Linked DNA regions of Diceros bicornis minor. The protein of the gene in region 2 binds, or shares a complex with, the protein of the main gene of each other region. Links are inferred from orthologs where the notes say so. Each region holds a gene or a part of one and is shown on either strand. Other genes may lie near its edges.

Region 1 (7,724 bases), on a different chromosome or scaffold from region 2:
TATATGACTGCTCTATAGGTGCTCCTATACCTACCTTGCTTTTTTTGAGGTCAAAGCTTTATTTTCGTTCAGCTTTCTTCCACCACTCTCTATAACAAAATATACACGTATTTTAGTGGGTCATTTCCACACATTTCACACATAACATAATCATATAGCATTTAACAATTAGTTAATAAGTTCATTTTTCAACCTCCTACCAACAGACCAACCTATACGAAAATTTTCAAAATTCCTCAGTTAATAGCCAGGTTCTTAAGACACTACTTGAAAAGAAAACAACTGTTTATTGGGGAAACAATAAAAAATTGGATAAAATGCAATCATTTTACTTCTTAGACTCAAAGTAGGACTTTAGGAGTGGGTCTACATTTAATGCACTAATGTAAAATCTAGATGCCATTACTTTGGTGCCATAGACCTTGAAAAAGTGTTTCTTTTCCTTCCCTTTGAAAACATCTTCATTGTACTGAATGATTATGAAGGTGAAAATATTTAAATGATTTCTTCAAGAATACAAAAATCAGGTGAGAAGAGGGGGAATTAAATACCAACTCCAATTAAGTTGAATCAAATCAATTACTTTGATATACTCAAGGCTTGAAAATCATTTAATTATTTTGCTATGTCCTATTTACCAAATTAGGAACCCCAATATGTAACTGAGAGAACTAAATAGAAGATATTAAATTGTTGCGGGATCCAGTATTCTTAATGTTTAATACATGAAATATTTTCTACATATAAAAACATTTCATTTTCCAAATGATGTAAAAACTAAAACATTATTCACAAGAAGTATTCAACTCAATTTCTATGTTCTAAAAGGAAAAAATACCTGTGGTATTCCTTGCACCATCTTTCCATGTATCTGGAGTGATAACAGTACCCAGTTTCTTTTCACCTGTTACAAGACAGTAAAAGTAAGGGGAATTAGTATTTACTATCTAATAAATACATTACATTGTGCCTAAAGTTCACAATTGTATCAGCAATCATATTATAGTAGAAGCCTGTTAATGCTGGGGTCAGGGCCAATGAACCAAGACTTAAGATATTAACTGTGGGCAATGGATGACGGACTCTCAGTAAAATCTGTAGGATAATAGTATGGTTTATAATAGGCTTCTTATGTACATGTATACTTTATATAAATCTGACAAATCTATTCATTTCATAAATATTTACTAAGCACCTATGATCTATAAATCATTGCACAAACTACAGAGAAAAATAAAATGATAAATGAGATGAAGCTCTAGATTTCAAGGAGCTTATAGTACACTGATTTCTCTAACAGTAGTCCTTAAGAGGTACATGAACAAGATGAAACTGCACACAAACCTTTTGTATGTCCATTTCTTTTACAGACTCTGGTAAGAGTCTATAGCTTTCATCAGCTTCTCTAGCTTTCATCAGATTCTCAAAGGGCTCAGAGAACCAAAAAAAAGTTAAGAACCATTCAACTAAAATACAAGCTAGAAAATAAAAAGTATAATAATTGAGAGCTAAAATAAATTGAGAGCTAAAGTACTAGGAGAAATTCCACGGACGAAGAAATAACCTTGTCTAGGGAAATCCAGGAAAACTTTGTGCGGAAGGCAACTGAGAGGGTTTGTGGCAATGTGACTGTGAAGAAAGAGGAGGAAAGAGGATGAAGGCAAACTAGATAAAGGACACAGCCTGAGGAAAGGCAGGGAAAGCTCAGAATACACAAGGGCATGCAAAATAGTTTGGTTTGGCCAAAGTGTGAAGAGGGTAATAGTTAGTGACAATTAAGTTGGAAAGATAAGCTGAGGCCTTATGGTGGAGGGTCATCTTGAATGCCAGGCTCCAAATACAGAAACCCCAAATTATTCTCTGCACACTGAGAATTTATTAAAGTAATCTGACCATGGTCATCCTTTTACCTAATATAAGAACTGTTATGCAAACTCATGGATGTCTGTGCTCAAAGTTTTATCTACTAGGGAGATATAAACAAAATGGATCATGTTAGACAGTAACTGGATCATGTTAATGAGACAGCAATGAGGACAAGAGTTCTTGAAACCTTGTGACAGAAGAGCCAGATATGTCTAGTGTGAGGAAAAAGAGACTTGGGGATATGACAGCTGTTTTTAACATATAAACGGTTTGTGAGGTAAAAAAAATCATCAGATATTTTCTAGAAATCTCAAGGGTTGGCATTAGAATCACTGGACAGCAACTATAGGGAGGAAAGACTTTTCTAAAAGTCAGTGAAGTATACACAGACTCATTTCAAGGTGGTGAGACTCTCCTGGCCCCAGCCTCAATACTGTAGATATTCATGCAGAGGACAATTAAGCCAATGTATGGAATACTGACTTACGATTGTTAGATAAAATACAGATGCTCAGTTAACTTTAAATTTCAGATAAAAAAAATGAATACTTTTTTCTGTAAAGAATGTCCTAAAAGTCCTCGGGGACAAAGCACTTGCAGTACTAAGGAGCAGCAGAGCCAAGTCTCAAATATTGTACGGGACACATTTATACTAAAGATTATTCGTTGTTTACTTGAAACCCAAATTTAACTGGGCGTCTGGTATTTTTTTGCTAAATCTGTAGATGCTGTAGAAGTCAATTTTAAGACCCATTCCCACCTGAGGGTCTGTGAGGCAAGAGAGCCAGTCAGAAGCTGTTTGGGATGAGATCTGGGGTTGCTGGAAAGCAACGGAAATAGACCAAGAGGTGCAAACTGAGACCAACCTATATGGTCGTTGGGGAGGGGCAAGAATGGTCAAACGGCAGAGTAGGAAGACAGGCTAGAATCAGAGTGCTGTGGCCGCTGGCAAAACAAAGAAAGGGCCAAGTTCCCGGGGAACTCCAGTTAGGTTCTTCCAGCCTCCTTCTCCCGCAGAAGCCACCCCTTAACTCACATTTTTCGCACACCATCCTTCCGCGACGGTTCCCTTAGCCGCAGAACGAGCAGCGGGTTGAAAACATCAACAGCACTGCCAGGGAAGAATTCCCCTTCCGGGTTACGGCAACCCACTTCCGGATCCCCCGCCCTCCGCCCCGCCTATCCTACGCCTGGAAAGCCGCGGGAGGAATAAACGCGGGCGGAAGGCGGGGCTGCTTCCTTTGCCCGCCCCTCCACTTCTGCGATTGGCTGTGCGGCCTTGGGTCTCCCCGCCCCACAGGCCTGCGCCTGCGCGAAGGTCAGGGCGGCGAGTCGCACCTGATGGTGGGAGGTAGTAGGTCTCGCTTCTCTTCCGCAGGTGGGCGAGTTAGGTAAGCCCAGTCTAAGGCTCGCGGCTCGCGAGCTTCCCGGGGGTGAAAGCAGCCCCCGCCAACTGTCCTAGTGGCCCCGAGCCTCTGCCCCGTTCCGCCCGCGCCCCCGGGCGCTCGAGCGCCACTCTTCCGGCGTGCCCCAGGGGCTGCCCTGATGGACCGGCCGTCTTTGGGATTTGACCTTCTGTGTCTGTCCCTCCGTTTCTCCTGGGCTCCATGCCCGTTCTCTTTGATTATGCCTCTCAGCTCGTCCCCTGCTGTCCACACTCCTGCCGGCTGAGGCTTGGGTAGAGTCCCGAGCTACACAGTTTGAGGTGGGGCTGCAGATAAAGGTCCCGCGATTCCCGCGAAGGCTCCCCTGGGAGCAGCTCAGAGGGCCTCTTCTCCCGCCACAATGCCTGTGGACCCGGGCCAGGTCAGAACGCGGACGCCGGGACTGAGGCCGCCTCCGGGGCGTCCCCGTGGGCTCGCCAGGGCCTAACACAGTGCTGGCTTCTCAGGAAGGGCAAACACTTGACCCCCTCTCCGTTCGTTCGTTCATTCATTCGGCAAGCATTTGAGTTTGGGTACTGCTCACTGTATTAGATCCAAATCCTCTGATGTCAATTGGGATTCGGAGCGTGGCCCAGAAAAACGTCCTAAGGGGTGTCTGTTGAGACAATGTCTTCCGGATCCCCCTTCCCACCCCTCAATCAGCCAAGGATAGGACCTGTGAGAAACTTTTCCTTTCTCCCTTGCTATTCATTCTCTTCTCGACCCCTAGTGTGTATCTTTTGTCAGAGAGACTAGGTTTTGAAATGGATTTGGCACTCGGGAGCTTGGGACCTTGACTTGTCTCCTAACCTGTCTTAGCCTGTTTCCTTATCAGTAAAATATTTGCCTTTGAAGATTGTAGTGTGAATTAAATGAGATCTGTTAGAATAAGGCCTGGACTTGCCTTTTTGCGCTAGTGGGCGCCCCCTCTGTGTGTGTGTATAAAATATATGTTTTTTTCCCTAGCGTGTTCACCAGAATGTGAACTATTACTTTAAATTAATAAGGTCCTTAACATTATTCAACACTATGTATAAGCTGTCTGTTAGGTAATGAATAATTAAATATATATAGAAAATACGTGTTTTATGTATAGAGAGAAAGTACATTTTTTTCTCTTTTTCCATTCTTGCTCCTTTTTTTTTTTGGTGAGGAGGATTAGCCCTGGGCTAACATCTGCGCCCATCTTCCTCCAGCAGTGCATAAGTCCGGGCCGTGAACCTTGGGCCACTGAAGCGGAGTTCTGGAACTTAGCCACTGTGCCACCAGGCCGGCCCCCATTCTTGCTCTACATTTGATTGGAGTATAGCACCTGTAACAGACACTGTCATTTTGGTATTTCTGGAGCACTGGGGTCCCTTAGTTTAGCATAATGTTCTTTGAACTCTCTTGATTACACCGGCCGTCATTTGAGTATTTGAGTTTGCAGTTGGTGTCACTTGGCATTTGCTAGAAGATGTGAACTCCTGTCATGTGAGACAAAGGTCTACAATGGTGAAAAAAACAAACATGCCAACAATTTAGCCAAAGTGTATTCATGGGATTTTTAGAATGCATAGGTTATATTTCCAGCTGGGGGAGGTCATTAATCCATGCAGTTAGTTTTCACCTCTGTTATTTTGGCAAAAAAAAAAAAAAAAAAAGAAATTGAATTGCTTAATTGGTCCTAGCACATGACTCTGTTGCAGAAATCAGTCGCAAATATTTAAGAACTTAGTAAATTTGTCTTTTTTAGGCTCTGAGAGCTATTTGTACCATATTAGTCTACATGTGCATTTACGCATATGCATCTTATTGTGAAAGCAATACCTTGTTGCCCGTAGAAAATTGACTTTGGTTCAAGGCTTATTTTTAGGCGTTAGAGCATTTAGGATGATGGAAAAAGTTATTGCATATGCTTTTTTCTTAATTTGTTTTTCATTAGATAGCCACTCAAGAAAACACCATGAAAGATACTGATATCAAGAGACTACTGTATACCCATCTTTTATGCATATTTTCAATTATCCTAAGCATCTTCATTCCATCATTGTTCTTGGAGAACTTCTCAATATTGGAAACACACTTGACATGGTTGTGCATCTGTTCTGTTTGTGTAACTGCTGTCAATCTAGTATTATATTTAGTGGTGAAACCAAATGCGTCCTCTAGAAGAAGTTCATTATCATACAAGGTAAGGCTTATTTCTTGATAACTGATTTTTAGATGGAGGTAGCGTTTCTTTTAATGGAAGAATAAAGTATTAGTCAAGTACTCATTGGGTTATTTACAGTGAGTAAAGAGAACCTGATTTCTTTGTCAAATCAGTAGCCTATTTGTTGGAATGCTGCTCACAATGTTTAATAGATCCTTGCCGTGCATTAGTTGTGAAATTAGGATGTCTTTTTTTTTTTGTGTGAGGGAGATCAGCCCTGAGCTAACATCCATGCCAATCCTCCTCCTTTTTGCTGAGGAAGACTGGCCCTGGGCTAACATCTGTGCCCATCTTCCTCCACTGTATGTGGGACACCACCACAGCATGGCCTGACAAGCGGTGCGTTGGTGCGCGCCCGGGATCCGAACCCAGGCCTCCAGCAGCGGAGCGTGCGCACCTAACTGCTACGCCACGTGGCTGGCCCCAAAATTAGGATGTCTTAAGTGGATATTATAGCTTTGTGAACCCATATAATCAAGTTTTATGTGATCATTGGAGATAAATACATATAGCAGTCATAACTTTAAACCTTATTTTATAAGACATTTCAGTTTATTTTCATTTATTTTTTGCATTTCTGAAAGACACTTAATGAGGTTTTCAGAAATTAGAAAATAAGACTCTATGATAGCTCTTGTTTCAATATGGCCTTCCTTAACTAAACAGTAAAGTTTTCAGATAATAGAATCTGTTTTCTGAAATATTCACCACAGTGTAACACTTGACTATTACTTTAAATTAATAAAGTCCTCACTTAACATTATTCAATACTATGTAAGCCCTCTATGAGGTAATTTTAAATACGTTTACTGCCCTATGATTAAAAAAGCTTATTGCATGTTTTATAATTAGATCTTCTTAATCTCCAAGTCAAGTAGGTCCCACACACTAATTTACAAACATGTAAGTCTTTTCATGTGGATCATCTAGTAACATGAACATGATTTGGAGAATTATTTAGTATTGTGCTTTTTTTTGGTGTAGTTTTCCTAGGGATTTTGTTTTAAAATGAAAAAAATTATTATAGTCATTATTTTCTGCAAATATTTCATGTGTGGTCACGTGTATGTGATCCCAGCACTCTGTTATTGGTAAATATTTTATAAATACTGATTAACAACATAGCTCAATACATACCATGGAAACAAATGCATTTTGACTCTAGTGTTGGTTGGGTGGGTGGAATATGGGGGTGATGCTTGCTTTGTAAGGCTGTGTTGAGGGCTGTGTACCTGATGGGACATGTGATCTGACTGCAGGGTACCCAAATCCAAAGAACATTCGACTGTATCACACATTATGGGAATAAGTTGTGTTTGTAGGTAAAATGGAGGCATTTGCTGTTCTTTAGGCATTCTCTTGAGTCTTTAAATTATTCATTTCTTTTTTAGGTAACCAGATTTTTGAAATGCTGTATCTATTTTCTTATGTCTTGTTTCTCCTTTCATATAATTTTTGTTCTCTATGGAGCACCACTAATAGAGTAAGTCTGAAATTTTTATCTGAAGGCAATTTTTATCTGTGGCAATTATGTTTTAAAACACTCATTTACTAGATAATGTGCTAATTCTATTGGTGATTAGACGAAAACCATGGTGTGTTTAATTAATGGATCAAGTAAGGATGCTGACACATTGCCCTTCCTTAGCAGTGTTATTCTTTTAAAAAACAGTGGAATAACTTAATTCATTAAATTCTCCTATTACCTAGCCTTATGTCACCCACTTGCATGTGAGGAGGAGGTAGATGAGAAACTCTACTATACCAATAAATGTGTGGCCCTTAGAACCTCTAAGGAACTTTTATGTAATGATATGTGTAAGTTAATTATAACTAATATATCAGTTCTTAGTAAATGTGATTCTGAAGTGCTTAAAAAGAGTTTGTTTTCTTAAGAAAAGTCAATAGGTTCCTATATTTAATTACTTAATAAGGTAATGTTTATAGTTTAAAAGTAAAATTTAAACACTTTTTCAAAACTGATTTTAAATTAGTGAAAACTAAATTCATGAATATTTCTTAAATAATGTTCATTATAGTTTGGGAAACTTCAGTTTAGCAGTGATGAGTGATCATGGTGAAATGAGTGATGTGATATACACACACACATACATATATAATTATGTATATAGTTTTATATATATATACATAGTTATGTATATACACACTAAACTAACAGGTTATTCTTTTCTACAGAGGGGAGGACAAGACCTTTGTAATGAGAAATGGTAGTTTCTATC
Region 2 (6,221 bases):
ATTTATTAAGCCATTTTCCCAGTAGGCTTCTCATGTATCCCCACTATACTTTATACATTGTTATAGAATGTGGTGGACCCTGTGGTGCTAGCTACAAGTCCCCCAACCGAATTCTCCCACTCAACACCCCCCTCCCCCACAACACACACGCACCTTGGCTGGGGTGTATTTGAAGTAGTATAGGCTCCCAGTAGAGATAACGCATGCAAGTACTTTTGTAAACTATTGATACGGAAATGTGATATAACAAATAGGTTCAGTTTTTGCTTTCATCACAGCTTTGGTTATTTCAGCGAATTCTAGCTCTTTTCTTGAACTTCTCCCATCCCCAGAATTTAAGCCAAAGGATTCTGAAAAGGATCTGTTACACACAGGCAGCATTTATACAAGGTAAAAATTCAGATTATACCTACCTCGATGCTTTTACAAGGTATCCATCCAGGACCCTACTTCACCACCCGCCTTTTCCTCTGACACTTTCCCTGGAAAGGAAGGACACGAATTAACATTTCCAAAACAACAAAATATTTATTTTGATTTTTGAGAATAATGGGAAAACTAAGTAATGGGGATTGGACCCTCATCGGGGTCTTCTGGGAAATCGGAAGCACCACCCTCTTCTGCAGCTCGATGCTTCTCCAGTTTAGCGATCAATTCTTTCGCTGGATTGAAGACGCCATTGGTTTGCTGGTCACAGACATAGCAGCGCGGGGTGGTGCGGAAATGCTGCAGTGCACAGCTCTCGCAGAAATAATGCCTGCACTTGGTGACAACTGGGTTTTGGAAGGTCTGGCGACAGATGAAACACTTGAATGGTATTTCCTCATCATCGCTTCCCACTTCATAGTTTTCGTCCTCATAGACACCATAGCGACCCTCATCAAGCTCACGTTCGATCTGCCACCCATGCTTGTAATCTGAACGGTCATGGAGGAATTTGCAGCTGTCTCCGAAGCCGCAAAAGCCAGTCTCCTTGTAGTCCTTACAGATGTCGGGCTGGTAATCCCAGCGCACGGTGGCACGTAGATGCTCGGGAGCTCGGATGGGGCCCTTCCTCACCATCCCGGAGGAAGCATTGCCCATAGACGTATCCTTGGGCTTCATATATTTCTGATAATTATTGATTCCCCGATAGATCTTGTCATCTTCCTTGCCCCTCAGCTCCTCCTGGATCTTCTGGCTGCGCTCAAAGATGGCTTGTGCGTCACGCTCCTTCTCTGTGTCTAGCTCGTAGACAGCAGTCGCCCCCAAATCCTCTGGGCCCACGGGTTTCGCCGAGCGGGTGGACTTGTAGACCACGCCGAGACTCTCAGGCTCCTTCTCCTCCTCTTCCTCGCTACTGAAGTCGCCGTAAACCGCCTTCTGTTTACCACTGCCACGGGTTTTCTGTATCATCGGATTGTGGGTCACCCTCTTCTTTTCCGGGCGAACCACAGTGCTGCCTTCTTCACCGCTGCTGCTGCTGTCTTCGGGCTCTCGGTCGCGGACTGGGCGCTTTCTGCGGCCTGCAGCCCCTTTCCGCCCAGGCTTTTTGAAGAGGAAGGTGCACACCTGGTCTGTCACCTTTCCTGGAGAAAGCTGCTCCGCCATTTTAGAGTCCCGAGCTCCGAAACGGCTGCTCGCGCGGGGCCTCTTCGCGTCACTGCACGGCGTGCGCTCCGCCGCGACTCGGAGCAAAACAGACTGCAGAAGGAAGACTGCGGGAGCGCGGGAGCGCGAGCACACGCCACTCTTGAACCCTGCCGGACTCCGTCGCTTCCTCCAGAGGCGTACGTGACCCCGCCCCGCTCGCGGGCTGCCGCGGAGTTTACCCGGAAGGGACCGAAGCCGGGTCACCTTTAAGGGGCCTGGGAGGAAGTGTCTGGTCCCGGTAACCGTGTTGCGATGTGGTTCGAAATTCTTCCCGGGATGGCCGTCATGGCCGTGTGCTTGTTCATCCCCGGAATGGCCACGGCGCGCCTCAACAGGTTCACTAACGGGGGCAAGGTAAGGCAGCTTCTGCGGCCCGACGGCTGACTCCGCGGATTGGCGTTACAAACTGGGCGGTGGGGTAGGGAGGCCGGTAGAACCCGGAGCCTCTCTCCGAGATGGGGAGTCCCAAGGTCGGCCCTCTCCTTTCTTCGTGTTGCCTAAAAGCAGAGGCTTGCGGAATGAAGCCCAACGGAAACCACATTCTACTCTAGCAAGAAGTTGCTGGGTGAAGAGTGGGCAAGAGGGCAGAGTAGAGGCAGAGAGAGGCATCAATTAGTTTTGTCCCCGCTTCCTCCGACCTCCAATCTCCTTTCTTGCTGGATTTTGATTTTAATTTCTCGCATCCACGTCTTGGTAGCTTCGTTTTTGACGTGTTCCCTACCCTTAATTAGGTTTTTACCTTGACGTTTTTTATCTCCCACTTTTTCTTGCAAGCCTTTAGGAATTTACCGCAAGATCCTGTTATTCACATCAGGATTGTAATTTTCCTCTCTTCCTAGTCCTTCCCATCATCTCTGGAATACAGAGTGTAAATGTGTTTGCTTTCTGCTTTTGTGATTGTCCTTCACGTGTGATCTACCACTGTTGTTTCTTCTCATTAGGGTCCCAAAAGGAAACAAGTAGTCATATCTTTTAAAAAAAGGAGGAAAGAAAAAAAATGATGCTGGTTAAAATAGGAAAGTGTAAGAACTCATGGTTACCATCTTAATTCTAAAGTTTAGTCGTCCGATTTTATTTAGGATTATTGTCTTCTATTGTTAATTTGGTTTTTATTTCAGTGATGATTCCATTTTTCTATAATGTCACTTATTAAAGTTCTAGTATCCCTCTATTGGGTCACTTATGTTTATAAACTGCAATAATAATTTCTTTTAATTGTAGGAAAAAAGGGTTGCCTATTATCCATATCAGTGGAGTTTGATGGAAAGAGATAGGCGCATCTCTGGAGTTAATCATTACTATAAGTCAAAGGTAAGATGGTTCTGATGCTAGCCATCTGTCACGGAGGTGGGTTCTGGTAATATTTTGCCAAAAGTCTTACAGTGCTAATTTAGTTTGCATTTTCTTGTCTATTAGTGAGGTTGAGTAGCTTTTTACATATTTAATAATCGTTTGTATTTCTTATTCTGTGGATTGTTTGCCTATAATCTTTGCTTGTTCTGTTGTCTTTTTCTTTTTGATTTATAGCAGTTCTTTATGTATTATGAATATTAATCTTTTATTTTATATGTGGCAAATATTTTTCCCAGTCTGCTGTTTGTCTTTTTCACTTCACGATGTCTTTCATCAGATAGTAGTTTTTAATTTTGATGTTCAGTTTATCATAGTTTATCCTTCTGGATTTGGGGTTTTTTGTCTTGCTTACAAATGACTTTGCTACCCAAGATTGTAAAAATATATTCTTACAATTTTTCTAAATACTGTTACAGTTTCTTTTTTCTTTTCTTTTCTCTTTTTACATTTAGTGCTTTGACCCTTCTACAGGTCATTTTGGGACATAATGTGAAGCCAGGATTTGACTTTTCTTTTTTCTAAGAGATAGCCAGTTGTCACAATTATCCATTTATAGAATAGTCCATTTTTTTATTTGAAATACCACTCTAGTAAACTAAATTTCCATATACACCTGGGCCTGTTTCATGAATGCACTCTTCTATACTCCATTGGTTTGCCAATTCCTGCACCAATACCATATGTAAAGAAGCACTATAATTTTGTATGTGCTTGAATCATATGAAATTGCTGTTTTTTGTAGGTTAAAAATGGCCAAGTAGTAGCATTTTCATATGGTTCAACCTAATAGTATGTTCTTATATCTTGTAGGAGTTCGTCTTCATTATTCTTTTAAAATATTTTAGTTTTTTATATTTTCTTCTTGCTCATTTATTCTTCAGTGAACTTGGGTAAATATTAATTCCATTTTATAGATGAAAAAATAGAGAGTCAGAACGATTAAATAACACTATAAGGACTCAACCTAGGTGATCTGCCCCTCAGTATATATTTGAGAATCTAATCTAATCTACGTGATGATATCTACAAATCTAGAGCAGTATTTCTCAAGTATGGTCCAAGAATAACCATCAGAATCACCTGGCATATGAGATAAAATACAGATTCCTAGGCCCCTGGCCAGACCAAATGAATTAGGATTTCTACAAGGTGGCCCCTAGGACTATGCAATTTTAATTTGTCTCAAGGTGATTCTTCCTACAATAGTAAACAAAATATCTGGACTGTGTTATTTTAACACCTGGAAGAAATGTCATCATTTCTTTTACTTAATCTTTTACTTTATAGTTTCTGAAGTATTTGGTTGTGAACTGAGTAAGACAGAGTGGGTCTTCTGAATAAATAGTGTCATGCTTACAGGGCAAGAGTTCTGGAGTTGGAGGAGTCCCTAAACTTGAATTCTGGCTCTGCTACTGCCTTACTGACTTAAGCAAGCAACTTTAAACCTCTCTCAGCCTCCATTTCTTCATCTGTAAAACAGTGGAATGAGGCTAATAGTATCTTCCTCATGTTGACTGTTATTTTATAAAACGGTTTTATCTTACTGTCCTCTGACTCTCTGAGGGTACTTTATAGAAGGATGCAGATGGTAACTATGTAGTTGCTTGCCTTTAGTTTTGATATGGGAGGGTCTTTTTATGTAAAGTGATAATGTTTGCTGCTGTCAGAAAAAGAAAACTAGAAATCATTATAGGTTATTCTTTTTACTTTAGTGATTATAAAATTCAGTCCAATTTATTGTTAGAGTTAGAGCAATGTGGGATGTGGAAGTACTTTCTTAAATGACAGAGAATGCCATTTGGTGACACTGGAAATAAGAGTATGTGTACATTTTTGATGGGAAAATAATTTTCACGTTTTCCTTTTTAAACTGTTTTTCAGGGTTTGGAGAACATTGATTAAGGAAGCATTTTCCTGATTGATGAAAAATAACTCAGTTATACTCATCTACCCCTGCTAGAAGATTATGTAATGTATTATGTAGTACCTAATAAAAATAAAATGAAAAAGTAAAATCGAAGGTTTTCTTTACTTTTTTTAATAGTACTACACAAGATCAAGCAGTCTACCCAATGTAGCTTTATCACTTTAAAAAAACTGGAAAGCGACTGAGGCTTGTAAAATTACAGACATAATGTATACCAAGTGGGGCCGGCCCCGTGGCTTAGCGCTTAAGTGCCTGCGCTCCACTACTGACAGCCCGGCTTTGGATCTGGAGTATGCACCGCCGCACCGCTTCTCCAGCCGTGCTGAGGCTGTGTCCCACATACAGCAACTAGAAGGATGTGCAACTATGACATGCAACTATCTACTGGGGCTTTGGGGAAAAAAAAAAAAAAAAGGAGGATTGGCAATAGATGTTAGCTCAGAGCCGGTCTTCCTCAGCAAAAAGAGGAGGATTAGCATGGATGTTAGCTCAGGGCTGATATTCCTCACAAAACAAAAAAAAATGTACACCAAGCACCTGCCACAGTGCCCAACATCTAATGTGTCATAAATGGCAGTTGCTACTATTGTAATAGATACTAATATACTAAAAAACATTGTTTCTTCAGAGATTGTCAGGAGAATACAGAAAGAGTAGTACTTTTTTTCTAGTTCCTTTTCTGGGTGAATCCTATAGTGTTTAAAATTCCAGTTAGGGGCCGGCCCCGTGGCTTAGCGGTTAAGTTTGCGCGCTCCGCTGCTGGTGGCCCGGGTTCGGAGGGCGCGCACCGACGCACCGCTTCTCCGGCCATGCTGAGGCCACGTCCCACATACAGCAACTAGAAGGATGTGCAACTATGATATACAACTATTTACTGGGGCTTTGGGGGAAAAAAAATAAAAAATAAAATTCCAGTTAGGATGCTTTAAAACGTTGCACCTTCAACTTTCATTCATTCTGTATCTAACACACAGTATTTGCTTAAGTGTTGATTTTTGTTTTAGTGTAGAGCAGCAACAATCATGTTTAATAAAATGAGTGTACTGACCACTTGAAATAAAGAGTTGCATGTTCAACATTAAAGGTAACCAAATAATATGAAGATCTGAAAAGGTATAACTGCTGTAAAGATGGTGATACTCCATGTGTATAGATCCACACCCCAGATGGCCACAGGACCTGTAGGTGAGAAATCTAAATTGTTTTTCATCTCCATCTTTTATCTAGTGTAACATTTGATCTGCTTATGACCTTAAACACACCTGCACTGTGTGGTTTCCGTTGACTGCATCTGACAGGGCAGGACTTA
Region 3 (6,885 bases), on a different chromosome or scaffold from region 2:
TACCATGTGTTAGGTACTGAGCCAAGTATTTCTCATACATAATAACGTTTAATCTGCACAACTGTACAATGAGGGGTATTATGATGATGCACGTTTTGCAGATAGGGAAACTGAGGCCCAGAGAGGAAAAATCACTTGCTGTTCCCTCTGCCTGAAACACTCAGACCCTAGCTTGCTCCTTTATTTTTCTTTTGGTGAGGAAGATTCGCTTTGAGCTAACATCTGTGCCAATCTTGTTTTTTTTTTTTTTGCTTGAGGAAGATTAGCCGTGACCCAACACCTGTGCCAACCTTCCTCTATTTCCTATGTGGGCTGCTGCCACAGCATGGCTTGACGAGTGGTGTAGGTCCGCGCCTGGGACCTGAACCTGCAAACCTGGGCCACTGAAGCGGAGAGCACGGGACTTAACCACTACGCCACGGGGCTGGCCCCGCTTGTTCCTTCATTTTATTCAACTTGTTCACTGTTGCCTCTTCCGACCAGACCTCTCTGATTACATCTAAGACAGCACCCCCTTCTCAGAACTCCACCCTCTTACCTTTACTCTTCTTCATACAACTTGTCATCATCTGTCTTTATGACACATTATTTATGTGTTTGCTGCTGGCTTTCTTACCTACAGCATAAGCTCCCTGAGTATAGGACCCAGGTTTGTTTTAGTCACTGCTATATCTCCAGAGCCTCACACAGTACCCGGCACGGGCGGACACGCTATGTCACAACTGCAAAAAAGGATCAGGAGCATCCTGTGCGCCAGATGCTGTACTTCTAATGACCCACTAAACTTCACCTATATTAAGTCACTGAATCTTTGCAACCACCATGATCACTGCCACTGTATGGATGAAAGTCACTTGCCAAAGGTCACATGGCTGCTAAGAGGCAGAGTTGGGGCGTGACCCCGGGAGGACTGGCTGCCAAGTACGTGGCCATAACCACTGCACTTCACAGCTGGAAGGGCAATGGGGGACAGTCACACTTCGGGGTTTTGAGATACTATGCCCCGGGCTTCTGAGAAATGCTTTATTCCAGCTCCCTATAGGGCAGCTGGCAGTGCTTCTCCAGGCCTGGACGGAACACCTCCCAAGACCCAGGCGCTCACCTGTCGAAGGCCTTCACACGGCCCAGGAGCTTCTTGTTGTTGCGACAGTTAATGAGCACTTGGGTGTTGTTCTTGACGGACTGCGTGAGCACGGAGAGGGGACCCGTGTTAAACTCCTCCTCCTCCCGCTTCTGCAGCTCCTCCGGGGTCATCTCACTCTTGGGCTTGTTGAGGAGGCTCCTGAGTGGGCAAGCACGGAACCCGTGAGTGAGAGGGCCTGGCTGGAGCGTGGGTGGTCATGGCCTGTGCTCAGGCCTCCCGACCTTGCCCCAACCCCCCCAACCCCCCCCCCACCTCAGTCTTCTCGCTTGGCAGCACCATTAGGCTGCCTAACCGACATTTCTAACCCTGCACCTCTTACGTTGGGCTCCAGATCTCCCAACCACCCCGATCTGCTCTATCCATAGCCTTCCTCATCTCCGTCACTGGCACCTCCACCCTTCTAGCTCTTTAAGCAAAAACTCTGAGGCCAACTTGACTCTTCTCTCTCTTTTTTTTTTGCTGAGCAAGATTAGCCCTGAGCTAACATCTGTGCCAATCTTCCTCTATTTTGTATGTGGGTTGCTGCCACAGCATGGCTGACAAGTGGTGTAGGTCTGTGCCCAGGATCTGAACCCATGAAGCTGGGCCGCCAAAGCAGAGCACATGGAACTTAACCACTACGCCACAGGACCGACCTGACTCTTCTCTTTCTTTCTCTCACATCCTACATTCAATCTGTCAGCAAGTCCTGTCATGGGCCTTTCAAATATATCCAGAAAACGACAAAATAAAATATATCCAGAATCTGACCATTTCCTACCAGGGCCTAAAGCTCCGTCATCTCTCTCCTAGGGTCTTACTGGTCTCCCTGCCTCCACCCATGCTCCCCAACAGTCTGTTCTCCAGACTTAAGTCATATCATCTCACTCTTCAAAACCCTCCCATGGCTCCCTTCTTGGTGTAAAAAGTAAAATCCAACGTTTTTACAATGCCCTACATCTGCCCCCTTCTGGCTGTTCCAGCCACAGTGGCCTCCTCCGCGGTCCTTGAAGATATCAGGCAAACTTTCATCCTGGGCCTCTGCATTTGCTTTTCTCTCAGTCTAGCAACCCCCCGCCCAGGTATCTTTGTGGTTCGCTCTCTCACTTTCTTCAGGTCTTCGCTCAAGTGATGCCTCCTCATTGTGTCCTTCAGTCTCTCAAAACCGGCATTCCCCATTGTTTTTCTGCTGCTCCATTATTTCTTCATCCATAGCCCTGGTCACCTAACACACCATATACTTTACCTGTTTATTATCATTACACTTATGCTTCTTCCCACCCCATAAGCTGCAGCGGCGGACTTTTTCTTTGGGAGGGAGACAACTCACTGATGTATCTAAAGCAGTGCCTGATACATGCGCAGTCAATAAATAATTACTAAATGAATAAATAAGTCAAATCATTCCGGGGACTCGTTATCCGTAAAAGTCGCGAATTAGGTCGTAAAGCTCATAAGATCCGGTTAAGTCCCTTACCTCAAACCTTTATTCCTACAAGTCCGCACTGCCCTCTCCCAGGGTCTTTATTCGTAAAATCACTGCCCCTTAACATTCATTTCAACAAGACTAAGCATTTGGGAAAGCCCTCGCCCGTTATCTGATAAAGCCGTTCCCTCTCCCGAGGTCAGGATCCGCCAAAGGCCCCACGCCCGTGCGCAAACTCATCAGGAGAAAAGTACGCCACTTTAACCCTAAACTCTCTGCCCCCGCCCCCCGCTCTGCCCACCCCCTTCCACCGGTAAGCGGCCCAGTTTACACCCTCAACCCCACTCCCGCCACCTAAGCCCGGCCCGGCCTCACATGGTGGCAGTGACTGCGTTCTCAACGCACTCCCGTCTTCTCCGCGTTGCTTCTGCCTCTAAAGAGAGAGCGAAAGGCGGGACTTCCGCTTCCGGCAGCCCACTTCCGTGGGCGCCTGCGCACACCCAACCCGCGACTGGGGGCGTGGCCTGTTGCCATAGCGATCCCCGCCCGCCCGGCCCAGCGGCGGGAGACGAGTGCTGCGTAGTGGTTCGAGGCCATTCGGGACCGTATGGGGCAGATGTTCACGACCACGGAGAGGAAAAGAAAGCGGGTTCGACCCAAACCATTTTGTCGTAGAACGGCACAGGTTGAAGGAGGGAAAGGACACGCCGTTTCCAAATACCCGCCGGCCCTGCCTCCGGGGGCGCGGCCTCCGCGAAGCCAATCCGCTCCTCGCTTCAGGGATGGACACCGCCCCTTTCCCCTCGGGGGCTGGTTATTTACGTGTCTATTGATCTTTCCGACTCCGCGTAACCAATCCTCTGCCTACATCCGGAGGGGCGTGGACCTGCGCCCCGGAGGGCGCCTGTTTAACGTGATCAAACGCTTCTCATTGGCTTCTCCTCCTCCGCTGAGGCGGAGTCCACCCCTTCCGCGCTCCCTTTTGGGTTGTGCAGCCCTCCGGGGGAACCAACCCCAAAGCCCGCGGGAGACGGGGAGGCGTGTCCTCAGAGCGGGAGTCCCCATTGGCTTCAGTGCTGGCAGGAGGGTCGGATGGTTCAGCCGCTCTTGTTCTTTGGTCCGCTGATTTCATGGGGTGGGACTTGGCTTGGCCTAAATTCTATCCGCGGTCCCGGACCGGTTTCAGGGCGAAGCTGCCATGCGTTCCGGGGGCCGCGGGCGGCCCCGGCCACGGCCCGGAGAACGCGGCCTCTTGGAGCCACCCTCACCGCCCAAGCGCCGCCTGCTACCGCGGGTACCGCTGTTGCCCCTGCTGCTGCTGGCGCTGGCCGTGGCCTGGGCGTTCTACACCATCTGGAGCGGCTGGCACCGCCGGACGGAGGAGCCGCCGCCGGCCCGGGAGCTGCGGGTGAGGCCGGGCGGGGGGCGGGCACCGCGGGGGCCCTCATTCCCCGGCTCCCCTTCCCTAAGGTCTCAGGTTGACGTGGCTTTCTCGTATGGCCCTAACCGCAGGTGCCACTGTCTCGGTCATTAGATCGCACGCCCCTTGCCAATGGAATGAAGCTTCGGGCTTGTTCTGTAACAGTGGCTCCGCTTTAAGAGGAAGGGTCTGGAGTAATAAGACAGAGTTCTGGGTTCTAATCCTAAAGTCAGCTATTTGGCGGAGTCCCTTCTTCTCGCTGGACCTCGATTTCCCCATCAGGGTTGGGGTGGGCTGGACCGGATGGGCTTGGAGGGACTTTTCCTGAGTCTAGAATTTATCCTAGAAACCTCCGATGCTAGAGACCGCGATTAGCGAGAGGAATTGGGGCTTCTTAGGGGTGGCGGCGCCCGGGGTAGGGTCGGAATGGGGGTTGTTATCACACTCTGCTCTTCTCTGCCCCATCCCACCCCACTCCCAAGGGCCCGTTGATCGGAAGCCTCCCCGAAGCCCGGCTGCGGAAGGTGGTGGGGCGACTGGACCCACAGCGTCTCTGGAACGCTTATCTGCGCCCCCTGCTGGTTGTACGGACCCCGGGCAGCCCGGGCAATCTCCAAGTCAGAAAGGTAAAGGGCCCCGCCTCCAACCCCTGATCCGCAGCCCGCCAGGGAACAGGAGATAGGCATTCTGCCTAAGATCCCAAAGCAGCTAAGAGGCAGAGCTGGGGCTCTGATTGGAGCTAATCTGGCTCTAGAGTCCCACCTGGTAATCACCAGGCTGTACTGCCCCCACCGAAAACGTGCTATGTGCTAGGCACAAGCAGCAGCCCTGTGAGGTGGGTACCAATGTGATCTTCGTTATGCAGATGGGGAAACTGAGGCCCAGAGCAGTTAGGCATCTTGTCCAAAGCCCACAGCTAATAAATGGTATACTTAGGGTTTCAACCCAAACAGGTTGGTTCCAGAGCTGGTGCTGTAACATCTCTATATTGCTTCCCAGAAAGCATGGATAGTCATGTGAACACTGCCTGAGTTCAAATCTCACCTCAGCCACTTGGAGTGTGACCTTGGACTCGTTTCTTAACCTCTCTGTGCCTGTTTCCTTATCTGCAAAATGGAGCCATTGACAGTTCCTACCCCACAGGGTTCCTAGTGCTATTGAAGAGGGAGCTGTGATTAATCTTGTTGGCATCAAGGGGCGGGATCACCCCACCCCTGGCACTCAGTAGAGACTCAGCAGAAGTGTGTCAAGGGAATGATTTAAACCACAGTGGGACTTGTGAGTCAACCTGGCTGCTCTGCACGGCTCAGGTCACATGGCCCTGCTCCCCAGTCCCCGCCCACCCTCCCGCCTCTCTCGCCACTAGTTCCTGGAGGCCACGCTTCGGGCCCTGACGGCAGGCTGGCATGTGGAGCTGGACCCCTTCACGTCCTCGACGCCCCTGGGGCCACTGGACTTTGGCAACGTGGTGGCCACACTTGACCCAGGGGCTGCCCGTCACCTCACCCTTGCCTGCCATTACGACTCCAAGCTCTTCCCATCTGGGTCAGCCCCCTTCGTGGGGGCCACAGATTCAGCTGTGCCTTGCGCCCTGCTCCTGGAGCTGGCCCAAGCCCTTGACTTGGAGTTGAGCAGAGCCAAGAATCAGGTGAGGAGTGGGGGAAGGGGAAGGGTGGGAGTCGGGGCTGCCTCTACCTTGGTCCAAGCCACCACCCTCCCTTACCTGGTTTTGTCTTCCTGCCTCTACTCCACACACAAAGCCACAGGGATCTTTCCACCTTCTGAATGTCAGATCCTGTCCCTCCTCTGCCCTTTGGGAGCCCTTCCATGGCTCCCACCTCACTCCTCTGGCATAAGCCAGAGTCCTTATAGTGGCCCATGAGGTGTGCCTTGTTACCTCTCTAGTCTTATCTACCACCTCTCACCCCTCGCTCACTCCACTCTAGCCACCCACCTCATCTGTGTACCTCAAACCCACAAAATTCACTCTCACCGCAGGACATTTGCACTTGCTGTTTGCTCTGCCCAGAATGTGCTTTTCTCAGACATTTTCCTGGGTGGCTCCCACCCTCATTCAGGTGTCCACTCCAAAGTCACCTCCTCAAAGAGGCCTTCCCAACCCCCCTAAAATAGCTCCTGGCACTATCTCATGCTTTATGCTGCTTTATGTTGACTTGTTTTTCTCCCCAACTAGAATAAGCCCCATACAGGCAGGGACTTAGCTGCTTTTGTTTCCTGCTGTATTTCCTGGGCCCAGAATATTGCCTGGCATAGAGGAGGAGGTCAATAAAAATGTATGGAATGGGGCTGGCCCGGTGGCTTAGCGGTTAAGTGCACGCGCTCCGCTACTGGTGGCCTGGGTTTGGATCCTGGACGCGCACCCACGCACCGCTTCTCCAGCCATGCTGAGGCCGCGTCCCACATACAGCAACTAGAAGGATGTGCAACTATGACATACAACTATCTACTGGGGCTTTGGGGGAAAAAAGGAGAAGGATTGGCAATAGATGTTAGCTCAGAGCCGGTCTTCCTCAGCAAAAAGAGGAGGATTAGCACAGATGTTAGCTCAGGGCTGATCTTCCTCACAAAAAAAAAATGTATGGAATGAATGAACGAAAACACAAGTCCCCTCACGCTCCTCCCCTGCTCAGCCCCTTCCATGGCTCAAACCCCAGTGCCCCAAGCTCCCTGGCCCTTGCTGAACCCTCGGGCCTTTTCTCAAACCCCTCTCGCCCCAGCCCTGCTCCATGTTGCTTCCCTGCCTGGGAACACTCTTCCCTCTGCTCCACTTTGCCAGACCAGCTCCCACTCACTCTCCACGCGAACATCCCTTCCCAACAGACCCAGATGTGCTTCCTGAGCGAGGTTATCCTCCGCCCCCTTCCTACGCGCTCTCAGGACCCTGTAGTTCTCGGA
Region 4 (8,016 bases), on a different chromosome or scaffold from region 2:
ACTGTAAAGTGAAGCAAGTGTTGAGAACCATGGTTCTAAGTATTCACTGGGGGTAAGGGAAGAGAAGAAAGGACTTGGACATAAAACAATTAGTGTTAGGGCTATGAGCCTAAACTTATACTTTCTTTTTGGTTCAGGCTGCTATTTTCACACTTTACTCTTTGCAAAGAATGGAGAAGGGGGGAAGAGACAAAAGGAACTGGTTCTGCTAGCTGCTCTAATAATTTTACTATTTTCAAAAAATGTGGTATAGCTCAACTTCTTTAGGTCCAATGTTTTGGTCAATATCCTATTCCACAGAGTTCTGCACATTTCCTGCCCTGAGAATACAGAATTGCTTAAGTGAAATATTCATTTACGGTATTATCTTAGTTATCTCATGTAATTTTAATTTTTCGAGGGATTCAACTATCTTAACAATTAGACTAAAGAGTAAGCAAAAAAGGCCTTCTGGAATCACACATTCCTTGTTTAAAAGTTTTGCATCGAGCATTTCTTATTGGAGAAAGCCTTTTTTCGGACTATTGTTGAGTTACATGTAGCTCTAGCATTCTAGCTAGAAGGCTATGTACAGTAACAGAAACGGAGTAACAACTAACAATTAGATAAGAAACTATAAAAATGCAGTACAAGCAGTCTGGAGCCATGTAACACAGGAGCCCTTACTTAACTCACATGGCCAGTACGAGACAGATCTGGAATTTTAACTCAACTCTCTCCAAAGACTGAGCCAACACTCATGGAGCTAAGTCATGAAAAGAGCTCTGGGCATGTCTGGCACACAGTAAGCATTCGTTAAATAAAACTGTCTTAGAAGCTCTTTGTACGTTCAATTGATAAACATTTAGGTGCCTATTGTGTGCCATGCACCCTTCTAAATGATGATGATACAGTGGAGAAGAAGACAAAGAAGATCCCTGTCCATGGAGCATTCTCATCTCAGAGAGGTCTTCCTCAACCATCCTATCTAAATAGTCACCCAGTCACTCCAAATCACATCACTACTTTACAATCCTCTATATAGCTTTATTAATAATCTGATATTCTTTGATTATTTGTCTGTCTCCACACTCTAGAATATAAGCTCCATGACTATGGACCTTGCCCATCCTGTTCCCCAATACCTGGCATAGAATAGCCCTTCATGAATAATTGTTAAATGAATTAAAAGAAGAACAGTTTCAAAGGCAGTTTGAAGAGTGGTTAAGGTCTTAAGCAAATTAGTTACCCTCTCTCAGCTATAGTTTCCCTTTTTAAAAAATTGGGATAATACACATACATAGTTCACAGGGTTGTTTTTAGGACTGAAATAGTAAGCCCAGTACACTATTAGCTCCTACTATTAAAAAGGGTTACATAATCAGTATACTAATTATAAAGATAGGAAGCATGCATTGTATTTAAGAGAGCTAAAAATGCTAAAACTGATTCAAATATTTATTTATTTATTTTTTTTTTAAAGATTTTATTTTATTTTATTTTTTCCCCCCAAAGCCCCAGTGGATAGTTGTGTGTCGTAGCTGCACATCCTTCTAGTTGCTGTATGTGGGACTCGGCCTCAGGATGAACGGAGAAGCGGTGCCTCGATGCGCACCCGGGATCCGAACCCGGGCCACCAGCATCGCAGCGCGCGCACTTAACCACCAAGCCACAGGGCCAGCCCTGGTTCAAATATTTAAAAGTTTGTGATTGAATGCAGTTATCTGAAACTTTCAGAAATCAATCTAATAAGCATTACTGTGCTTAGTTCTTAATGTGGTAATGACTATAACTAGGTAACAACATTTAGAAAGAGCATGGGAAAATACCGTATCATAGCAACATCTCTCTCCTACTTAAAACTTAACCAATGTTTTTTCACGTTACTTCAACATAAATACTGCCTTTTTTTTTAAATTTACTTATTTGTTCCCCCAAAGCCCCAGTAGATATAGTTGTATGTCATAGCTGCACATCTTTCCAGTGGCTGTTTGTGGGACGCGGCCTCAGCATGGCCGGAGAAGCGGTGCGTCGGTGCGCACCCGGGATCCGAACCCGGGTCGCCACCACCGGAGCGTGCGCACTTAACCGCTAAGCCACGGGGCCAGCCCTAAATACTGCGTTTTAATAACAGCATTCTTTCATAAATAAATGGTTACCTACAATGGGGAAAAAAACCCAAACATGTATGTACTAAAATGTTTACCAGAATTCACTAATTTAGAATTGATATTTTACACTTCATTTAGCTGATTAGACCCTGAATAGTATCTTGGGTGCACTTAAACGCCGCCCTCCAGTGGTTCTCAAGAGCTTAGGCAATGAGACTTACATATATTAAAAAACCCTAGATCATTTGTTTTAGAGCGGACCTTAGAGAGTAAAGGATCTCTTCGAGAATTTACGCAAGGAACCCATCTCGGAAAAACGTACACACTAATTTTTGCATTGTTAGCTTGTTGACAGCTCCAGAAAGTCCTTCTGTGGGTCTCAGAATAAGAACCCCAGAAGAAGCTTATCTAACGGTTTTCAATGCGCTGGTGATACCTTATAACAGCGGAAGTAGTAGCTAAGCAAGCAATAGTTAAAGCCGGAATTTAAAATTCACTTTTACGTGGCTAAGGCTCTCAACCCAAAAGAACGATTCACAGGATCCTGGTTCATACGCTGGGCTCAAGACATCACACTTACTTCAAAAGCAGAATAATCCGGGGCTGTCAGGTAGCTCAGGTAGTTCTTAGTAGGTCGGTATCTGCGAGTTTCCTCCTCTACCAGCGCCGCAGCCTAAAAAGGAGAACAGGGACCAGGGTACAGCCAGCAAATTGTAAGGCGCCTCTTTCAGCACGAAGGGTCAGCGAGCGCTGAGTCAGCAACACAGACACCCCCGAACTCACCGCTTCCCGCACACCGGGCGCTTCATAACCTTGGTCAAAATACGGCAGGGCATCCACCACAACTTCTCCGGCCACCAGACCAGTACCCGCCATTCTTGAGCTCGCCTGGGCTTTCTGAGTCGGCGCAAACTCAGGCCCACCGAAATACGCCTGCGCCCATCACCGACGTAAAGCACGTCGCCTGGGCAGTGGCTTTGGCGCATGCTCAGTTGCTAATGCCGAAGGCACGCTCGCCCAGGCACTAGGAATTGCCCGGCCATTTTGTTTTGGTCGGACGTGACGTCACGACATGGTTTCCTAGAGTCAGCGGAACATCTCAATTTCCTGTCTCCGCACGCTCCACTTTTTTGCTTCCGACTGGCAGCAGTTTGGAGAGTAGTTAAGACTTTTGGTTTCCTCCAGAACGCTGATACCTGGGAGGGGAATCCTTTAAAATTTCGGAGGGAACTGGCTGCAGGATTTGGCGGGAAGAGAGTGTTTTCTTACCTCGTCTTACTCCCCTAACCTTCCGCCTTTTCCCCTTAAACTTCTCTTACTTTGTGCCAGGCTTCTCTCTCCTGGATTTCCTTGGTGTACTTCCACTATTCTTCGTTCTCGGCGCCCAGAGAACCATCGCATTGGATAAGTGTAGTTCTTTCACAGACTCGAGAAGTAGGCGCCAGTCTCCAGTTAAAATTTCGAAGCTCTGGAGTCTGCGTAACAAAAGGAACCAGATCTACCCCCAGGGCGAGATTGATAACAGCCCACCAACCCCAACTTTTCAAAATCCTGTCATTTTATCTTCAAGACGCATATCAAATCCAATCATTTTGCCTTTAAGACTTCCAGCAATAGAATAGCGCTCCGCATTGCCTCCCAACCACCCATGCTGCTCCCGGTGCACTGTCTCTAGTCGGTGGCTCCCAGTATATATATATATATACTATACATAGTCGGACTATATATATACCCTGCCCGGTGTGCAGTCCTAGACCCAGGCTTTGTCTGTCAGGAGCCTGGAAATGTTGGCCACGGTTATTAAGTCTGGTTAATCTAGACTCGATTTGGGTTATCTTTTAACCTACCATTAGATAAATGTGCTAGCTGTAGATTTAAGGGAAGTAAAAGATGTCTACATTTTATGCAGTTTTATTTAAAATTCTCCAAGAGATCCATGGAATTTTTGTGTTTATTCATTAAAAGATCTGTAAACAACATTTTATGCAAATCTTGAGCAATTCTTTTTACAAACATGTCCAGAATTCATAACACTTCACAAAAACAAAATAAGACAGGCCTAAGAAAAGGAAGCAGCTTCAGATTGCACGGATAAAATAAGACCCCCATCCCTGAAGCAAAGGTCCCCTCACATAGGGTTGGCCAGGATCTACCATAGTAATACCTCCTACCCCCATTTTATAAACACTCAATTCCCAATTACTAATTGTCCCCTCAGGGTTGGAGTGTCAGAAGAGACCAAATGGGGAGATGTCTGGTAAGAGCCCCACTGGGGTAAGCTGCTTAATAAACATTTTTTAAAAGACATTGGCTCAGTTCTATTTTCTGGACCCACATCTATAGTAACTATAATATACAGCACCAGTCTTAAATGATGTCTGCTTTAGATTCATTCATGCACACCTGAACGGGTTGTAATGACAACACTGTACAAGTCAATAAACTGATCATAACGCAACTTGTAAGGTTTTGTTAAGTTTGAATAAATATTTTTTATGCCAGTTAAAACCATCAGCAGGAATTGAAGAAAACAAACTGACACTTGCTATAGAAGAAAACAAACTGACACTTGCTATAGTATTTATCAATGAAAATTGTACCATCACTGACAAATTCCCCTTTCCAATCACTACTACTTCTTTAGATAGATATTAAGGGTCGGCGTGATTATGTCATGTGTGCCCAGAAAATATCCATATTCTGAATCCAATTTAATTAGAGCAAAAAGTCCACCGAATCTAGGGGAACCAAAAAAGAGTCTTATCTAGGCACCCACAGTTTGAAGTCCCTAAGAGTTGCCTCTGGTACACTTCGGCTTAAAAGAAAACTTTTTCAATAGCTACATAATCCCACAGAGCTCACATTTCCATCTGCAGGACTAACCAACTTTCTCTGTGTTCATAAACTAGTAGTCCTGGCTTCAGTTCTGGCTCTGCTGTATAACTTTGGGCAAGTTATTTAACCTCTTTGAATTCCAGTTTCTTCATTAGTAAAATGGAGATGCAAATATCTTATAAAGTTGATCTAAAGAATCAATAAGGTGACACACATACATATACCATAGTGCATGGCACATGGCGGACACACACACACACAAAAGGTAGTTCTCATGCCCTTGAAAGGACATATTCTTATTAGCTATAATTCCACAAAGTTTAATGTTGACACGTAAGGGACAAGCTACTCAAGTGCCACACAATGTGGAGGAGCTGCAAGATGTCTACTTGTATAAGATACTCAGTAATAGTGCTAATAAATAGGGCTTCTGCATAAGTGAAATTCCCCTAGACAGAACATTAGACAAAAAAAAAAAAAAAGGATATATATGATGAGTATATTCCTTAGCTCAGCTCAAACAGCCCATAGGTTTAAAGCTGCCATGGTGTTTCAGTGATGAGAATTATGTGTGTAGGGCTAGTATTCTCCACTTCTAGCATGCCTCTCTAGGACCTTAAACTCAGCATTTCTCTCATTGTGCTCATCTTTGAGCTATTTTTTTAAAAAATGCAACACTAAGTCTTTCGCTTGTAAAATTCAAGTGCTTTCATAGTCTAAGCACAAAACACAAAGAATGAACCCAAGAATCAAATACTTAAAGAAAATCGGAGGCAGAGTAGAGACAGCATTGGTTCCAGATTACTCCCAACAATTCTCCAGTGATTACTACGGCAGCAACAGCAGAATCCTCCTCCAAGAACCTGGCCCACTTGGTAACCTTTTCAACTTTCAAGGATTTTGTAGAATATTTCACGGCATCCTGACTTTCTGAAAATATTTTCTTTGGCATTATCTGTTCTATTTAGGATGGAGATAGTCAATCAAAGATTTCATTTCTTCTGCAGAAATTTCATTTTACTTCCTAAAAGGAGAAAAAAGTAGAGTGAACTCTCATTAGTTTGTTTTTATTTATTGTACATTATTTGAGGCAAGAGATTAACAACCTCGTCATTCAGAACAGCCCAGGAATAAGCTGCCATCTCAAGCTATCAGCTGTGTTTAACCACCAAAAAAAACTCTGCAAGTGTCTAATTGTAGAGGTGGAAGAGAACTCAGACATCATCTAATCCAGTGGTTTTCAACCCTAACTGTAGGTAAAATCACTTGGCCTGCTCCCCAGAGATTTCTTGGACCCAGGGGGAGCAGGGTGTGGGGGGAATGATTTTTATTTAAGCTCCCCAGAGATTATAATATTGTAGTCAGAGCTGAGTACCACTGATCTTATCTAACCCCGTGGTATAAAGATGAAATAACAGCCGAAGTATAATATGTCCATGGTCTCTCAGCTAGTTAAGGATAGGGCCTAATTTTAATTAGGGAGATATATTTCAAAGACCAATATAAATATCATAGAATATAGGTTCTTCATGTTTTGGGCTACCACACTACTGTTCTCCTATATCATACTAGATAATTAAAAGTTAACTAAAATTGAAAAATCATAAAGTGTTTCTTTATGAAGTGTAAAATTACAGACTTGCAGGAAATCCTTTTGCCTCAGACTTCCTTTATACCAGGTGTTTTTGTTTTGTTTTGTTTTTTGCCGAGGAAGATTTGCTCTGAGCTAACATTTGCTGCCAATCTTCCTCTTTTTGTATGTGAGCCACTGCATGGCCACTGACAGACGAGTGGTGTAGGTCTGTGCCCGGGAACTGAACCTGGGCCGCCGGAGCAGAGCACACTGAACTTAACCACTAGGCCACCAGGGCTGGCCCTAAACCAGGTGTGGAGTCCATGGATGGGCTTCAGGGGGGGTCCATGAACACCCTAAATTTATATGCAAAATTTGTTTGAATGCTCCAAGTATATTTTCCTGGGAAAAAGGTCCGCAGTTTTATAAGATTCTCTCAGGGATGTGACCTAGAAAAGAATAATACTCATGATATGCAAATTCTTATATCATGAGGGAGGTTTATCTGTGGAAAACAGCCCCATGGACAACTCTGATGGATAATCCCAACCTCTGAGAAAGAGACTTCTTTTTTCCAAAAGACACTTTGGAACTAGTGTCATGGTTTCTGGTCAACCTACTTGAGGTTACATTGTTGATCTGATTATAAAGCTTTTGTGATGAGGCATGCTTACTGCAAAAGCTTTTTCAGCCACATTTATCTAACAGGAAAACTCAGCAACTCACCAAGACTCCGCAAAATTCTATTCACCCCACTGGGCTCAGATTCAGGAATTGTTTCCAAATACTGGAGGGCCCGGACCTCAAACAAACCTACAAGGAAAATTCATGTTGGTGAAATTGTCCAAAACTCAAGACTGAAAATCAACTAAATGAAACTCTGGTCTCACTACCAATGTACTTCCATAGCTAAAATAATATTACAAAATAAATATTTCCCATAATAAACAACTCAGATTTTGAGCCCTTGTAGCTTTATGCTATTTTTTATTTATATTATTTTCAAGCCTTTCAAGTGCTAAATACAAAGGGAGAACTTTATGATGAGACTGACCTTTCACTCCACTTTTCCGAAGCTCTCGGTCTTGGATGAATCCTGCAAACATCTGAGTTTCCATGAAGAGATCCAGGAAGTGGCGTACACTTCGGGAGGTGTGGGATTTACGGAATGGCTCCCTTTGGAATACACGCTCCCCACGCTCAGTGACAGTCATGCTCAAAGAATAATGTCCTACCAGCTCCACAAAAAATCTGACAAATGCTTCGGACACCAGAGAGTTGAGCGTCACGTCTGCTGCAAAATGAAAGAAAAAGAAAAGAAAAGAAAAAAATCCCCTAAGTTTTGTGTTTATGGGAACACTGGCTCTGGTTATGAAAGTGATGCCTAGGAAATCATGGCTTAAAGGACTGAGAATAAATATAGGAATCCTCATTCTTGGTTTTTTGCATTCTCCATGACCTGCAAAAAGCAAATGGCTTATAGCCTTACCTTCATTTTCTTCCCACACGTACTCTTAT

What was found.
Region 1: RNF113A (region 2) and CRIPT share a complex: the UniProt entries of both Homo sapiens proteins name them as parts of the minor spliceosome. The link is inferred for Diceros bicornis minor from reciprocal best matches to the Homo sapiens genes RNF113A and CRIPT.
Region 3: RNF113A (region 2) and SNRPD2 share a complex: the UniProt entries of both Homo sapiens proteins name them as parts of the minor spliceosome. The link is inferred for Diceros bicornis minor from reciprocal best matches to the Homo sapiens genes RNF113A and SNRPD2.
Region 4: RNF113A (region 2) and BCAS2 share a complex: the UniProt entries of both Homo sapiens proteins name them as parts of the pre-catalytic and catalytic spliceosome complex. The link is inferred for Diceros bicornis minor from reciprocal best matches to the Homo sapiens genes RNF113A and BCAS2.

The regions. Positions count from the first base shown.
Region 1 is NC_080751.1:38,647,423-38,655,146, forward strand, and holds the start of CRIPT (cysteine-rich PDZ-binding protein), read right to left. Parts: upstream 3,006-7,724; 5' UTR 2,919-3,005; coding exon 2,903-2,918; intron 905-2,902; coding exon 839-904; intron 90-838; coding exon 35-89; intron 1-34. Other genes in the region: PIGF (phosphatidylinositol-glycan biosynthesis class F protein), read left to right, coding at 3,652-3,672, 5,215-5,463, 6,876-6,967. UniProt on the Homo sapiens protein: As a component of the minor spliceosome, involved in the splicing of U12-type introns in pre-mRNAs. Involved in the cytoskeletal anchoring of DLG4 in excitatory synapses.
Region 2 is NC_080781.1:110,360,453-110,366,673, forward strand, and holds RNF113A (E3 ubiquitin-protein ligase RNF113A), read right to left. Parts: upstream 1,751-6,221; 5' UTR 1,591-1,750; coding exon 559-1,590; 3' UTR 503-558; downstream 1-502. Other genes in the region: NDUFA1 (NADH dehydrogenase [ubiquinone] 1 alpha subcomplex subunit 1), read left to right, coding at 1,885-1,986, 2,854-2,943, 4,867-4,887. UniProt on the Homo sapiens protein: Required for pre-mRNA splicing as component of the spliceosome. As a component of the minor spliceosome, involved in the splicing of U12-type introns in pre-mRNAs. E3 ubiquitin-protein ligase that catalyzes the transfer of ubiquitin onto target proteins.
Region 3 is NC_080773.1:19,907,267-19,914,151, forward strand, and holds the start of SNRPD2 (small nuclear ribonucleoprotein Sm D2), read right to left. Parts: upstream 3,020-6,885; 5' UTR 2,927-3,019; coding exon 2,925-2,926; intron 1,283-2,924; coding exon 1,103-1,282; intron 1-1,102. Other genes in the region: QPCTL (glutaminyl-peptide cyclotransferase-like protein), read left to right, coding at 3,748-3,957, 4,452-4,595, 5,336-5,617. UniProt on the Homo sapiens protein: Plays a role in pre-mRNA splicing as a core component of the spliceosomal U1, U2, U4 and U5 small nuclear ribonucleoproteins (snRNPs), the building blocks of the spliceosome.
Region 4 is NC_080743.1:47,233,645-47,241,660, forward strand, and holds the start of BCAS2 (pre-mRNA-splicing factor SPF27), read right to left. Parts: upstream 3,017-8,016; 5' UTR 2,967-3,016; coding exon 2,874-2,966; intron 2,764-2,873; coding exon 2,671-2,763; intron 1-2,670. Other genes in the region: DENND2C (DENN domain-containing protein 2C), read right to left, coding at 5,918-5,949, 7,225-7,311, 7,553-7,792. UniProt on the Homo sapiens protein: Required for pre-mRNA splicing as component of the activated spliceosome. Component of the PRP19-CDC5L complex that forms an integral part of the spliceosome and is required for activating pre-mRNA splicing.